Linked DNA regions of Mus musculus. The protein of the gene in region 3 purifies or fractionates together with the protein of the main gene of each other region. This does not show direct contact. Links are inferred from orthologs where the notes say so. Each region holds a gene or a part of one and is shown on either strand. Other genes may lie near its edges.

Region 1 (5,222 bases), on a different chromosome or scaffold from region 3:
TTCCTTTTGGCTGTTGAAGTCTCAATTCCCCCACCCCACCCCCACAGGAAAAAAAAAACACCCTAATTTATTACATTTATGTGCGTGTGTGGCCAAACAGTGGTGGTATATGCCTTTTAGGAGGCAGAGGCAGGTGCATCTCTGAGTTCAAGACCAGCCTGGCATACAAAGTGAGGTCTACGACAGCCAGGGCTGCACAGACAAATCCTGTCTCGAAAAACAAAACAAACAAACAACAAAAAACCCCAAAGCCCCCAAAACATTCATGTGTGCATGTGTGTTGCAACAAGAGGTCAGAGACAATGTGTGAGAGTCACACATTGAACTGTCACACTCTGAACTGTCTCCTTTGATCACGTGGGTTAAACAGAGGTCCTCAGCTTGACAACTCTGTCTTTTTTGAGACAAGATCTCATGTAGCCTTGGAGAGCATCAAACTTCCTATGTAGCTGAGACTAGCCCTCAACTTCCGATCCTCCTGTCTTCACCTCCCCAGTGCTGGGTTACAAGTGTCAGCACCACACCTGGTTTGAGGGTTACTAGGGACTGAATTCAAGGCCTCGTACATGCTAGGCAAGCCCTCGTTAAGCTACGCCCCTGCCCCTCTCCATCTCTAACACTCTACTCAGAGAAGCCAGGCTGAGCTTCCAGATATGCTCACGTCAAATCTCTGCTTAGAAATCTTAGATGTGGGCTGGTGAGATGGCTCAGCGGGTAAGAGCACTGACTGCTCTTCCAAAGGTACTGAGTTCAAATCCCAGCAACCACATGGTGGCTCAAAACCATCCATAACGAGATCTGACGCCCTCTTCTGGAGTGTCTGAAGACAGCTACAGTGCACTTACATATAATAAATAAATAAATAAATCTTTAAAAAAAAAAGAAAGAAAGAAATCTTAGATGCATCCCTGCTGCTTTCAGAATGAAACCTCAGATATGACTAAGCTTAACAGGGCCATCTTTTGGGCTTGCTCACTGTCTGAAGACAGTTTCCACCACGATGTCCCTGAGCCAGCTGTGTATTCCCCAACAACTCTGTCCTTCCAGGACTAGGCCACTAGAATGAAAACTACACTTGTGGATCCTCCCAGGTAAACGCCACCTCGGCCGGCTTTCTGCACCATTGTTTTCTCACTTGGCACATCATTTACACATCTGTCTCCTCACTGAGCTGGTGAAGAGGAAGGAATCTGTCTCATTAAAACAAAAAAACAGGATTGCAGAGATGGCTCAGTGGTTAAGAACACTGGCTGCTCTTCCAGAGGTCCTGAGTTCAATTCTCAACACCCACATGGTGGCTCACAACCATGTGTAATGGGATCTGTAGTGATGCCCTCTTTGGGTGTATCTGAAGACAGTGACATTGTACTCACATACATAAGTAAATCATTAAACAAACAAACAAACAAACAAATATTTCTTTGCTTATGTGTATGGTGTTTTGTCAGCATGTCTGTGCACCTTGTGCATGGAAGCCCTGAGACTGGAGTTATACAAGGTTACCAGATGCCATGTAGGTGCTGAAAATTAAACCTAGGTCCACTGGAAGTGTCGCCAGTGTTCTTAACCATCCCTCCGGCTCCTGCCTCACTTGATTTCTTATGTACAGCACCCGGGACAGGCTTTAGTGGTGCACTAAGCCTTGAGCAAAATGAAGCTGGGTCATATGGTAGTGACAAGAGACAGAAGGTGGCAAAAAGTCCATAGAGCCAAGTGACCCTGGCTCAGATGTACCACTGCCTCGAACTGCTGGTGAGTTAAGTCTTCCCATGAAAAGTGCTGAGAGATTAAAGTCAAGTCGTTCGCTTGTGCTCACTCTGGGCAGATCTAGCCGACAGAGCTGAGCACGGTGGGTGTCACTGTTAAATAAGAAGCAGATTCTGACTGTAACTAAATGTTAACAACGGGGACACATCCTAAGACATGTTGTTTAGCAAATCTGTCATTGTATGAACATCTCTTATTATAGTGTGTGTGTACACGTGTGTGGTGTGTGTGTGTTCATGGAGGTGCATGCATGTGTAGATGTGCTCATGAGCATGCTGAGGGCAAAGCTCGACCACTCTTCACCTGATTGTTTTTCAAGGCTTATTTTTGTGTATGACTGTTGTACCTGCTTGTGTGTATGTGCAAAACGTGCATGCCTGGTGCCTGTAGAGTTCAGAAGTGTCAGACGCCCTGGAAATAAGACTTAGAGATGGTTGTGAGCCACCATGTGGGTGCTGGGAAAAACAGCAAGTGCTCTTAACTACTCTGCCACCACTCCAGCTCCAACTACCTTATCTCTCTCTCTCTCTCTCTCCCTCTCTCTCTCTCTCTCTCTCTCCCTCCCTCTCTCTCTCTCTCATCTATCCAACCATCCATCTACTTATGTATTTATTTGAGACAAGATCTCACTATGTAGCCCTGGCTTGCCAAGAACTTGTTCTGTAGACCAGGCTGGTCTCAAACTCAGAGAGATTTGCCTGCCTCTGCCTCCTGAGTGCTGGGCCTAAGGGCCAGTCACCATGGCCAGCTTCCGGAACACCTTGATAGAGCCACCATGCCACCAGTTCTCAGGTTGGACATGCTGCTGGAGCACCCAGCTTATTACACAAATGTCTTAAGGGTACTTACACACACTGAGACACCTTTGTCATTAGACAGTGTAGTCTGATGGGACCACCATGTGGCTTGCCTTTGACAGAAATCATTACACGCTATGAACTACAGCATATCTAAACCCTAGTGCTGGCCTCAGACACCCAGCCCTGGTCTCTCTCCTAGCTGGGGCTCAGCGGCTTTGGTCCCGCCCTCTGCAGCAGCGGCTGTGGCCCTGCCCTCCCTCCGCAGCGGCGGCTGTCACACCTGTGTCTGGCAAGTACTGGAACTCCATGGGCTCACTGAGCTCGCGATCAGAAGGCCGCCGTAGCTGCATGGAGACTCGAACAGGAGCCTGGAGGCTGGGGTCGGCGTACGGAGGAGTCCGGAACACAATGGCCACTTGCCGATGCACATCAGCTTGAGAAAAGGAGCCTCGTGCCTCCCAGCCTGGTCCCGTGAAATACACCTCAATGTCTTCTGCAGGAGACAGTGGCAGTATGGGTTAGTATGTGTGACCCAACTGGTTGTTGTCCTCAACACCTGATGTTTTTCCCTGTGACATCACCTGCTTTCCCTGAAGCCGCTGAGGTAGCTGGCACTCATCACCTCCGCTCAGCCTCACCCCTCCCCTCTCCGTGCAGAGTCCAGTGTGTACCTTTCTGCACCTTGTCGCACAGCAAGAAGATCTCATCCCCACCGAGGCAGCTCCCAGAGTTCCGGTTTACTCGGCAGATCTTGAGCTCGGCAGTGTTGGGGGCCCCTGAAACATCAGCGGTCTCAGGGTACCCTGCAGGAGCTCTAACGCCCGCCACGCCCAGCCCGCCACGTCCAGGCCACAGCCTGCTGACCACACTTCTGCAGACCGCTGCTGTCTGCTCTCTATGTCAGGCAATTCCCGATCAGTCTCTCTGCAGTACGGGTAGCATGGCTCTAGGTGAAGGGACACTGAAGGCCGGATGTCCCTGTTCTCCAGAGATCCTCCAGTCCAGAGGACACACTCTGACCACACCTGCCGCCCTCCACCTTAGCGGCACAGTTTCAGCTTTCGGTTCATCCCGCCTCACTTCCAGTTAGTCCTGGCTTCCGGTTCTTAGGACTCTGAAGCCCTTTGGTTTTCCTTTAATTTACCCTGCTGCTAAAGACTGCAATCCATCAAAGTCAGCCAGGTCATCTGAGAGCTTCCTGGGAGCTGCTACAGCTGAATTCCTGCTGTCTAGAAGGATCTGGTCTCTGAGAGCTTGTTTCCTAAAGTCCTGAGCACAGTTCTTGGCAGACCAGCTTCCCAACCCCAGATATGGGAAGCAGTCACTTCCCACCAGGCTCCTGGGCATCCTGGCCGCTTCAGTCACAGGGCAGCTCTGGGTCTTCTCCACCCCACCCCCTGCAGCACAGCTGGAAGGCGCTGGATGACTGAAGGAAGCCAGAGCTCTTCTCCCAGGCCTCACCCACCCGGTCCCCATTCAGTTCCCAAGCCCGCCCTCATCCCTACTGCAGCCGGCCACTTACGGTTATCAAAAATCGGATGTGAGAGGACAGGGGTCAGGAGGAGGGGCCTGCCTGCTGGGTCCCGCACTGTCACCTGGAAGCAGAGGCGCACTGCATTCAAGTCATAGTCCCCGCGCTGCTCCTCTATAGGAACTGTCAAAAACAAAAAAACAACAAAAACAAAAAACAAAACACTGTGGTGGAAGGCATTGGGGGTGGGGGAGGGGGGACGGGCCAGGGAGCTCTGAGGAAAGAGGAAGGTGATTTGAGGAGATGTAAAACAGAAGTCTAAGGGGAGGAAGACCCTAGATCCATCACGGCTCTCCAGGAGCCCTCTCTAGGCCTGACTCTCAACGGCAGAGTGTGAGTGTGTGCCAAGCTGGCAGCAAGGTTCCACTCCTGCTGCTGGGTTGGCCATGGAGGGAGATGAGCGGCAGAGGCCCAGGGAAGGTGACAGAGATACTTGCACCACACGAAGATCAATGTCTTTGCCCCTTGCTCCTACCGTGAAAGGGGTTATTGTTGGTCTGGATTCGCTGGCTAATGGCTTGCTCCAGGTCTCGCTTCTTCACACACTGGATCCCCAGGTTCTGGAAGCTGAGGCCTCAGGTATTAGTTTTGTGTCTCCAGCAGAGCCCCTTCTTGCCTCCCAACTCCACAGCTCTCAGGTATGTCTAGGCTTCCCACTCCTTACCCACTGGCAAGTCTCTGAGGGAGCTGGCCCTCGCAGGCCTCCAAGCCAGTGCCCCACCTCAGCCACAGGGGCTTCCTTTCCCAGACCTAAGCACACGAAATGGAACGTACTCCCCTTCCAAGGGCATCGTACTGCTTGCTTGCTTGCTTGCTTTTTTTTGTACTTCTTTCTCGTGCACGGAATGTTCTTTTGGGTCTGTCTGCTTTTTCTCACCATTTAAGAGTTAGCACAGAGGCCTTCTGTAACCCTCCAACCCAAAGTCGTGAGACCTGTGCAGCAGGACACGGTGCTACATGCCTATTCCCCTGGAGTTGAGAAGAGGAGGCAGGGGAACCCTAACGAGTTCAAGGCCAGCTTGAGCTTCCTGAGACCAGACTCCTCCTCCTAATTTATAACTGTGTTTTCTTTCCATCATGGAAGTTATAATTCTCTACCAGTATCTCGTCTATCTGTCTGTACA
Region 2 (4,356 bases), about 24 Mb from region 3:
TTTGCTAATTTGGAATACCTGGAACATATCGGTTTATAACAGTGTAGGCATGTATAGATTTATTTGTAAACAAAGGTAAAAGGATGGTGTCCATTTTCTCTACAGAGGACTCCTCTGTAATCTCTGTGAGTTCCTTCCTGATGTTTGAGGAGCAAGATCGTGATGATGTCTTCCTCCAACCCCACCCCCGACTCATAATTTTGAGGAGAGGACACGAAGGTTGATTGTTTCTTGTAGGAATAATCTCTATGCCTGATTGGGTCTTTTTGAGACAGGATCTCACAGATAGATCCCAGCCCCTGGAAGTTGCTATATAGCTGAGAATGACCTGGAACTTCTGATCCTAGCCTTTGTCACCTTACCCTGGTTTCTTCAGTGCTAGGGATCAAACCTAGTGCTTCAACTTACCGGGCCATTGCTGTATCAACTAAGATGCAGCCTCAGCCTTGTTGGGGCATCTTGAGAGAAGCTGACCTCATTGTACAACTCTCCAGTGAAGATGAGAGTTAAAGGCCTTTTCACATTGCCAGGAAACGCAGGTAAACTGCTGGCTGAAGGTGACAGGCTCTGCAGTAAGTGGAGGGCTCGGCAGCCTAATTGCAGGTATTGCATCATAGAGTAGTTGAGTCCATTGTCCAGGAGGCGAAGCATAGCTCAGGGAAGGAGCTGTGGCCCTCAGGGGCTCAGGAAGGGGCCACTGCCCTCTGGTTTATTCTCCTTTCCTTGGAGACTTCATTTTCTGAGACATTGTTTGAAAAGTGAGACTCAAGGAAACCCCTCGTGGTTTGTTACCAGGGTTTTCTTGGTTCCTGAAAAGCCGTTGATTGTTGCTTAAAATACACACCAGCAGTTCTCTTTCCATAGAAACTCTGTTTCCAAGCTCCAGGCTTTCTCACTTCAGTTGGAATTGACTTGCTCAGAGTACATTGATTCCTCTGTGAAGTTGTAGTCTGATGGGTCAGAACAGCAGCCAAGCCTGAAAATTAATTACTACACTGCTTCATATTTGTATCTGTCTATATCTGGAGACCAGGTGATCTCTGGCTTCAAATCACAGGAGAGGTTTGTCATGTTTCTGCTTTTACCTGGAGAGGCTAAAAATGAGAGCATGTGTGAGCGAGCCCTCTGTGATGACATAAGTGTTTACCGTTACTGTGTGTACGTGGTGTGCTGCAGCTTTCTTACGTTTATATTGTACGTATGGGCTGTGTTGATGACTGAAGCATCTGTAGATCACGCTCCTGGCTTTCAGGTGCATTATTTGCTGTTTTTCTTTTGTTGTTGGTTTGGTTTTTGTTTTGTGGTTTTTTTGAGACAGGGTTTCTCTAGTCCTGGCTGACCTGGAACTTGCTCTGTAGACCAGGCTGGTCTCAAACTCAGAGATCCACCTGCCTCTGCCTCCTGAGTACTGGGATTAAAGGTGTGCGCCACCACGCCTGGCTGTGCCTGTTTTTCTTAACTGCCTTGTATAACACGTTTGTTTTGTCTTACACTGAAAGTTTTTCTAGCAAGTAATAGTGTAAGGTGGGACAATATAGGTTGACAGGGTACCCACCCTTGCCAGAAGGAGTCTGACATTTTAGTAGACTACCAGATTTTACTAGAATTTCCTTTGTTCAGTTTGAGATTGATCCACCGGGGGTAGTGAAGCAGCAGGCACAAGGTAGAATTCACACCATTCTTTTTTGTGCAGAGCAGAATGGGGCATAGCTGCCCCCAGCTCAGGTGAAAGTGGGTTAGGGTTGCTCAGTCCCGGGCTATTAGATGAGCATATGGTGCTGGAGAAGCTGAGCGTTGATTGCCAAGAGCTGGGTCTCAGCTCTTGTCTGTTAAAGTGCACATTGGTTTCTAAACCTGAGTTTAGCGGAGTAGTGGGTGACCTGTACTCTCTCTTCTTTAAGTAGAAGTGTGTGATAGTATTTCTCCATGGCTATCACTTCCCAGAGCCACCCCGACCCTATCACACTGCATGTCCCCATGCTCATTTTCCTGTTCTTTTTCACTGGAGTTGCCTTGTGTTTTCACGCTCTCTTTGGGATGAATCTCTAACGTAGCACAGTACATGTTTGGCACATAGGAAGCCCCCCCCCCCCCGGGAAGAATAGAAAAGAGGGGTGATGGCCAGGAACTGCATGCAGTAACTAGATGCTGTATTCGTTGGGGGGGGGGGGTGTTGTTTGTTTCATTGGCTCTCTAGTCATGCTGACTCTAGACCAATCTTTGCTGACCTGCTTCCTCTGACTTGGAAAGAATGAAGGAAAACACTTTTCTGAGTCTTTTTTTCTCTCCCTCACCCTAGCTTGCCAGCAAAGCACGGACGGAGAAGGAGGAGAAGCTGAGCCAGGCCTATGCAATCAGCGCTGGTGTCTCCCTGGAGGGCCAACAGCTCTTCCAGACCATTCACAAGACGTGAGTTGGGGGAGCATGGGTTCCTATTTCTAGAGCTGATACTGTCAGGTTGGCTGTTGGACAAAAGGCTTCTGGGTGGTTGTCTTGCTGAAAGTGTACCAGGGCAGCGAGGGTAGCTGTTGGCAGCTTATTGGCATCCAGAGATGTGGTGCTTGGAGCTCCCTTTGCACAGAATACTGTGATCCTAAATCAGTCATTGCAATCTTTCTGTTTGTGAAAACGTATTTGGGATTGCATTATTTTGTAAGGCTCTCTGGTAATAGTAATCCATAATTTAGAGCTCACGATTAGCTTCTTGTTGTTGTTACTGCCATCCTTGCCTCTAAGATAGCTTGTGGTTTTATTAAGGGAAGTTCTATCACTTTCCCTACTTTGCCTTGGGACAAACACAGGGAGTTGGGAAGAACAGAAGGCAACCGTCTTACCTCCTTCTAAAACACATGTTGTCACAGCAGAAGTCATTGACTCTCTACTAGCTTCCTACGTGCTGAAAAGCTGGAACATTTGACACCCTCCTCAACCCCCCTTCCCCCACACACTGCCTTCTGTTACCCTGTTTAACCACCCAGGGTCTGATGCACAGATGGCAGCTGGCTGTAAAACTGTCTGGGGCCGGGTGTATCTGAGCATTTCCAGGTATGTGAAGGAATTCTCACAGTAGCATCAGCTGCCCTGGGATTCCCCATGTGTGAACTCAAATGGATCTTCCTGGTCTGGCAGGTGTTTACCTATGGTAATTGAGTGGGGCCAGTTGGAGTGCAGCTTACATGGCTGAGGGCAGAGGCTGGGTGGAAGCAAAGTACAGATCATTATTTCTAGAAGTGCTATTTTTTTCCCTAGGTCAAGGGTGAACAGATTATGCCGGCAAGACAGATCTGCCCCTTGTATATGTGTCATCTGTTGGCAGGTTTCTGTAGCTGCTTGTGACCTGACACCATCTAGAAAGCAGTTGGCAGCCTCTGCTCTAGACCTTTAAGTTGTCGGTTCTAGTGGGTTAGGTCTGGTTGTTCATTTGTAACTTGGTTTGAGCTTCTGAGACTGCCACCAGCCACCAAATGTTTTATGATTCTCCAGGCCCTGGTGCTTCACACTATCGGTTCTGGCCTCTCCCTAAGATAATGTGCATTAGTGATGTTGCTGTCCTGTCCACAGATGCCTGGGGAATGTTTGTTGTCTCCTCTGCTCTGGCTCAGTAGTGAGCTGAGAACTTGGGGTCAGCCTACTAGTCTAGTGGTATTGTTTCCTCCTCCCCCTCCTCCTCCTCTTCTTCCTCCTCCTCTTCTTCTTCTCCTTTTTTTTCGAGACAGGGTTTCTCTGTGTAGCCTACCCTGTAGACCAGGCTGGCCTCAAACTCAGAAATCTACCCATCTCTGACTTTCTCTTCTTTTCTAGACAGGGTTTCTCTGTGTAGCCCTGGCTGAACTAGAACTTTGTCTGTAGCCTGGTCTAGCTTTAAATTCATGTCCACCTGCTTCTGCCTCCCAAGTGCTGGGATTAAAGTTGTGGGCCACAGCGCCTGCCTCTGAAGTTAGTTCTTCATTAGATGAACTAATGGGGTGTCCCCAGGATGTCACAATTACCTGCGTTCTTCTCCTTTCAGCATTAAAGACTGTAAATGGCAAGAAAAAAACATTGTAGTCATGGAAGAAGTTGTTATTACACCCCCATATCAAGTGGAAAATTGTAAAGGCAAAGAGGGGAGTGCACTGAGCCATGTACGCAAAATAGTAAGTAAAGCAGCCGTGGAGTTTGGGTGGGTGTGTGTGGGTGTGTGTGTATCCCTTGGCCTTGGTCCTCCCTTGTCAGAGCAGGACACTGTGCTCCTGCAGTCGTGATGTCTCCTAGCAGTGCTGCTTGATGCCCCTGCTCACTAGGCTCTGCAGCTATGTCTTGGAAATTTGGGAGTAGAAACCTTGGTGGTATGGGATAGGATGAGCAGTCAGCCCT
Region 3 (5,222 bases):
CATAGAAAGGCAGACCCTGAACCATTCATTGAAGGTGGCCCTCCTCACAATGTGTCTTAACCTGGGATGAAGAATGAGGAGGGAACTGGGTTTAGGAAATTTAGAGGTTATTAACAGTTGGGCTCAGCGGCTTTCCCGTATGTGGTTTGGTCGTTGGGTACTGTGCTAAAAAATCTAGAAAATGCTAGGGAAATACTTAACAAGTTTTTATGAACCATTACTTCCAAAGCTATGAGAAACTGGTTTTCTGGATCCAGAAGAGGGCACAGGAGACAAAACATGTTGAGTAATTGCAGTGTCAAATCTAAAAGCTAGATTTATTTGGGACTCAAGTTTTGCTGAGTCCATTTGAAGTGGAGTTCTCATGGCACCCTAAATAATAAAGACACAGGGATTCTTTAATTGCTTTCTGTAATAACTACCATCTTCACATTTTTCTTAAATATCTAAGCTTTAAAAGGTACTTATCATACTTAGTGCATGTCAAGGCCATAGGGAGACAAATATGTAGTTAAGTGAATTTTTGTTTGTTTGTTTGTTTGTTTTCTTAATTTTCAGAGACAGGGCTTCTGTATAGCCCTGGCTGTCCTGGAACTCACTCTGTAGACCAGGCTGGCCTCGAACTCAGAAATCCACCTGCTTCTGCCTCACCTAAGTGCTGGGATTAAAGGCATGTGCCACCACACCCGGCTTGCCCACCTTTTAATATATATATATGTATGTATATATATATATATATATATATATATATATACACATATATATATATATAATTATGATTAATGAGCCAGAAGATACAGGTATTGCTTAACTTATAGTAGATGGTAAAGTAGTTCTTTCCTTGGTTGCCTTTGGTCCAGGCAAATCTATTGATTTGGGTCTCCCTGCCCCTAATTTTTGTTTTTGTTTGAGACAAAATTTCAGGGATACATATCTAGACTTGGCTTAACATTTTGCATTTTTTAAAAGAAAATGTTATAGAAAACAAAACCACATACTATTTTTGTCAGTTTTTAGAAAAATGGTAATGTAATGCTGGGAATATGGAATTAATTTTTTCCTAACTACTAAGGGTTGAGAATTGAACTTGATACATGGCAGTATGTTTGTTTCTGATGCAGGGCAGTGGCTGCACACATCTTTAATTCCAGTATTGGGAGGCAGAGGCAGGCAAAACTCAGTGAGTTCCAGGGTGGCTAGGGGTACACAGAAATCCTATGTCAAACAAACAAAAAATATTGTCTATAGTTGGTTTTTGTGCAACTGTGTTCTTTTCTGGAAGTTCATACAGAAGAAAAGTATTTGTTGTTTGATTATTGTTAGAATTGAGGGTTTCCCAAAGGTCTTTTGAGGTCATAAAACAATTGATAAAACTAATTGCTATTTTATTAGTGAGTAGAAAGCTGTGATTTAACCAGTAAATCACTTTTTAAAAAAGATTTATTTATTTATTCTATGTAAGAACACTGTAGTTGTCTTCTGACAACTCCAAAAGAGGGAGTCAGATCTCATTACAGATGGTTGTGAGCCACCATGTGTTTTCTGGGATTTGAACTCAGGACTTTTGGAAGAGCAGTCAGTGCTCTTAACCGCTGAGCCATCTCTCCAGCCCCCCAGTAAATCACTTCTAATAAGAGATAATTAATTGTAAGCTGATCAGTGGTGGCACACGCCTTTAATCCCAGCACTTGGGAGGCAGAAGCAGGAGGATCTCTGAGCTCAGTGATTTTGCATTCCAGCACAGTCAGGGCTACACAGAAAAACATGATTTTCTTAAAAACAAAACAAAACAAATGTTAGTTGTAAAAAGAAGTCTATGTTCAAGTACTTGACTGCTTTAGGATACTAAATTCATTTCATTGTAGTTTTGTGAGCATGAAAGTGTTGGAAGCAGGTAGGAAATTATGTGTCCTAGACAGATTCCTAGTTCTGTTACTCTGTGACCTGGATGTTAACATTTTCTCTCCTGGTGCTTTAACAACCAAGTAGAAGCTAAAAGTAAGAGAATGAGTCTTTTTTTTTTTTTTTTTTTTCCCCAAGACAGGGTTTCTCTGTGTAGCCCTGGCTGTCCTGGAACTCACTCTGTAGCCCAGGCTGGCTTTGAACTCAGAAATCCACCTGCTTCTGACTCCCAAGTGCTGGGATTAAAGGCGTGCATAAAGAGGCCTGGCTGAGAATGAGTCTTAAGGGTTACTACATATTTTTGTTTCATGTTTTATGGTATGCTGGGTTTTTTGTTTGTTTGTTTGTTTTTAAGGTTTCTGTATTATATGTAAGTACACTGTAGCTATCTTTAGTCATCCCAGAAGAGGAAAAGTCCACAGGTCTTATGGCTTTGTCTGAAATTCATTGGCAACTAGTCACTTTTAGCCCTCAGTATACTCTTTGGGGGTACAGGGAGGTTCAGTACTAGGGATTGAGTTCAGTGGTCATACAAGGGAGACAAAGGCCACAGCCTTATTTTTATTTTCCTTTTACAGGTTATTGTATCTGAAGTAGCACTGATTCTAAATAGTGTGTGAGACAGGGTTCCACCCTGTAGCTCAGGAAGGCTTCAATCATGCAATAATCATCTTGCTTCAGTTTTTCTAGCAGACTCATTGATATAATTCATAAGGTTTATTCTGTTTAGATAATTTAGAGGAGATTATGGCATGCTGCTTGAAAGGTCCTGATCTTTCTAGTTAATTCTGGCTACTGGCCCAGAAGATGGACCTGATATGAGTTGTGTCCTAGGTCTGCCTCTGCCTAGACATTGAACCCTGTATCATAATCTGTAAAAGTTTCTTTACATAAAGTTTCTTTACATAAAGATAAGATACAACAAACCCTACAATACAGCTTAGTATTGGGTTCAGTAAAGTTGTTTGGTCTTAGTACTACTGTGATTTAAATGTATGTGTTTTGTTTGTTTTTGTTTTCCTTCTATAGGCTATGGTGAAATAAACGGTAATGCTGGAGAAAGAGAAATATCTTTAAAGAGCCTCAGTTCTGATGAAGCTACCAACCCTATTTCCAGGGTCCTTAATGGCAACCAGCAAGTTGTAGAAACAAGCCTGAAGCAGACTGTAAAGACCAGCACCTTTGGAAAAGCAGGAATCAAAACCAAGAATTTTATTCAGAAAAACAGTATGGACAAAAAGAATGGGAAGTCTTATGAAAACAAATCTGGAGAGACCCAGGCTGTAGATAAGACCGATACCATAGCAATTCCAAATGGTGTTATAACAAGTAGTTCAGGCTATATTACTAATGGTTATATGAGCAAAGGAGCAGATAATGATGGTAGTGGATCTGAGAGTGGATATACCACTCCTAAAAAAAGGAAAGCTAGGCGCAATAGTGCCAAGGGTTGTGAAAACCTTAATTTAGTGCAGGACAAAATAATGCAAGAGACTAGTGTCCCAGCATTAAAACAGGGACTTGAAACTTTAAAGCCTGACTATAGTGAACAAAAGGGAATGCGAGTAGATGGTTCAAAGCCTATTTGGAAATATGAAACTGGACCTGGAGGAACAAGTCGTGGAAAACCTGCTATGGGTGACGTGCTTCGTAAAAGCTCTGATATTAAACCTGGTTTGAGTAGCAAAAAATTTGATGATCGGCCTAAAGGAAAGCATGCCTCAGCTGCTGCCTCCAAAGAGGACTCATGGACCTTGTTTAAGCCACCCCCAGTTTTTCCAGTGGACAATAGCAGTGCAAAAATAGTTCCTAAAATAAGTTATGCAAGCAAAGTTAAGGAAAACCTCAACAAAACTGTACAGAACTCCTCCGTGTCACCATCTTCATCTTCATCATCATCATCTACTGGGGAAACTCAGACCCAGTCTTCAAGTCGGTTATCCCAGGTCCCGATGTCAGCTCTGAAATCTGTTACTTCTGCCAGTTTTTCTAATGGGCCTGTTTTAGCAGGAACTGATGGAAGTGTGTACCCATCTGGGGGTCAGCCACTGCTAACGACTGCTGCTAATACTTTAACACCCATCTCTACTGGGACTGATTCTGTTCTTCAGGACATGAGTCTGGCTTCAGCAGCCGTTGAACAAATTAAATCTAGCCTTTTTATCTACCCTTCAAATATGCAAACAGTGCTGTTAAGTGCACAAGTAGATCTGCCCTCTCAGACAGATCAGCAAAACCTGGGGGATATCTTCCAGAATCAATGGGGTTTATCATTTATAAATGAGCCCAGTGCTGGCCCAGAGACTGTTATTGGAAAGTCATCAGATCATAAAGTGATGGAAGTGACATTTCAAGGAGAATATCCTGCCACTTTGGTTTCACAGGGTGCTGAAATAATTCCCTCAGGAACTGAGCATCCTGTGTTTCCCAAGGCTTATGAGCTGGAAAAACGGACTAGTCCTCAAGTTCTGGGTCACATTCTAAAACCTGGGACTACTGAGAGTGGAGCCTTATCCTTGGACCCCAGTCATATAGGTGACCTGCAAAAAGCAGACACCAGTAGTCAAGGTGCTTTAGTGTTTCTCTCAAAGGACTACGAAATAGAAAATCAAAATCCCCTGGCCTCTCCTACGAACACTTTGTTAGGCTCCGCCAAAGAACAGAGATACCAGAGAGGCCTAGAAAGGAATGATAGCTGGGGTTCTTTTGACCTGAGGGCTGCTATTGTATATCACACTAAAGGTAACTCATTTGTTTTTTTTCTAAGATTCCAATGGGCTGATTGTGTGTGTGTGTGTGTGTGTGTGTGTGTGTGTGTGTGTACATGTATATTTGATATTCTATATTATGAATGACTGGGTAAGAATTAGTATCAATTAATTGTTAATTGATTTGAAATTTTTGAAAATTTATTAAAGTTTAGAGGACTGTAGTTTTCCAACGTAAAATCATCAATAAAGGCACAGTTGATCACATAATTAGATAGAGGTTTCATGTCCCTTAAAGGATAGCCTTTTTTTGTATTGGGTCTCAGGTTTTTTTTTTTTTTTTTCTTTCTTTTTTTTAAGTGATAGAGTCAAAGTTTTAAATTACCCAAATGGGCTTTAAATCCTGATCCTCTACATACTAGTTGCTGCTGGGATTGCCTGTGTATGCCACCAAATTTGGCCTCCCTCTCTTGCTTCTCAAAGTGTATATATTATTTTATTAGCAAAACAATTCATGGTTTTAGTTGCTTATAATGAATTGGGCAATGTTTTTGAGAGTTAGAAAAGATAAGTATCAAACTTTTTTCCCTTAAAAAAGTGCCAAGTGGTTTA

Evidence for each region.
Region 1: the proteins of Nufip2 (region 3) and Rela purify together in Homo sapiens (affinity purification with mass spectrometry; 3 studies listed by BioGRID and IntAct, counting the BioPlex papers as one, with this or other methods). This does not show direct contact. The link is inferred for Mus musculus from reciprocal best matches to the Homo sapiens genes NUFIP2 and RELA.
Region 2: the proteins of Nufip2 (region 3) and Lsm12 purify together in Homo sapiens (affinity purification with mass spectrometry; 3 studies listed by BioGRID and IntAct, counting the BioPlex papers as one, with this or other methods). This does not show direct contact. The link is inferred for Mus musculus from reciprocal best matches to the Homo sapiens genes NUFIP2 and LSM12.

The regions. Positions count from the first base shown.
Region 1 is NC_000085.6:5,639,302-5,644,523, reverse strand, and holds part of Rela (transcription factor p65), read right to left. Parts: intron 4,666-5,222; coding exon 4,574-4,665; intron 4,222-4,573; coding exon 4,090-4,221; intron 3,344-4,089; coding exon 3,239-3,343; intron 3,061-3,238; coding exon 2,848-3,060; intron 1-2,847. UniProt on the Homo sapiens protein: NF-kappa-B is a pleiotropic transcription factor present in almost all cell types and is the endpoint of a series of signal transduction events that are initiated by a vast array of stimuli related to many biological processes such as inflammation, immunity, differentiation, cell growth, tumorigenesis and apoptosis.
Region 2 is NC_000077.6:102,165,140-102,169,495, reverse strand, and holds part of Lsm12 (protein LSM12 homolog), read left to right. Parts: intron 1-2,299; coding exon 2,300-2,409; intron 2,410-4,009; coding exon 4,010-4,136; intron 4,137-4,356. UniProt on the Homo sapiens protein: Nicotinic acid adenine dinucleotide phosphate (NAADP) binding protein. Confers NAADP sensitivity to the two pore channel complex (TPCs) by acting as TPC accessory protein necessary for NAADP-evoked Ca(2+) release.
Region 3 is NC_000077.6:77,688,611-77,693,832, forward strand, and holds part of Nufip2 (nuclear fragile X mental retardation-interacting protein 2), read left to right. Parts: intron 1-2,931; coding exon 2,932-4,644; intron 4,645-5,222. UniProt on the Homo sapiens protein: Binds RNA.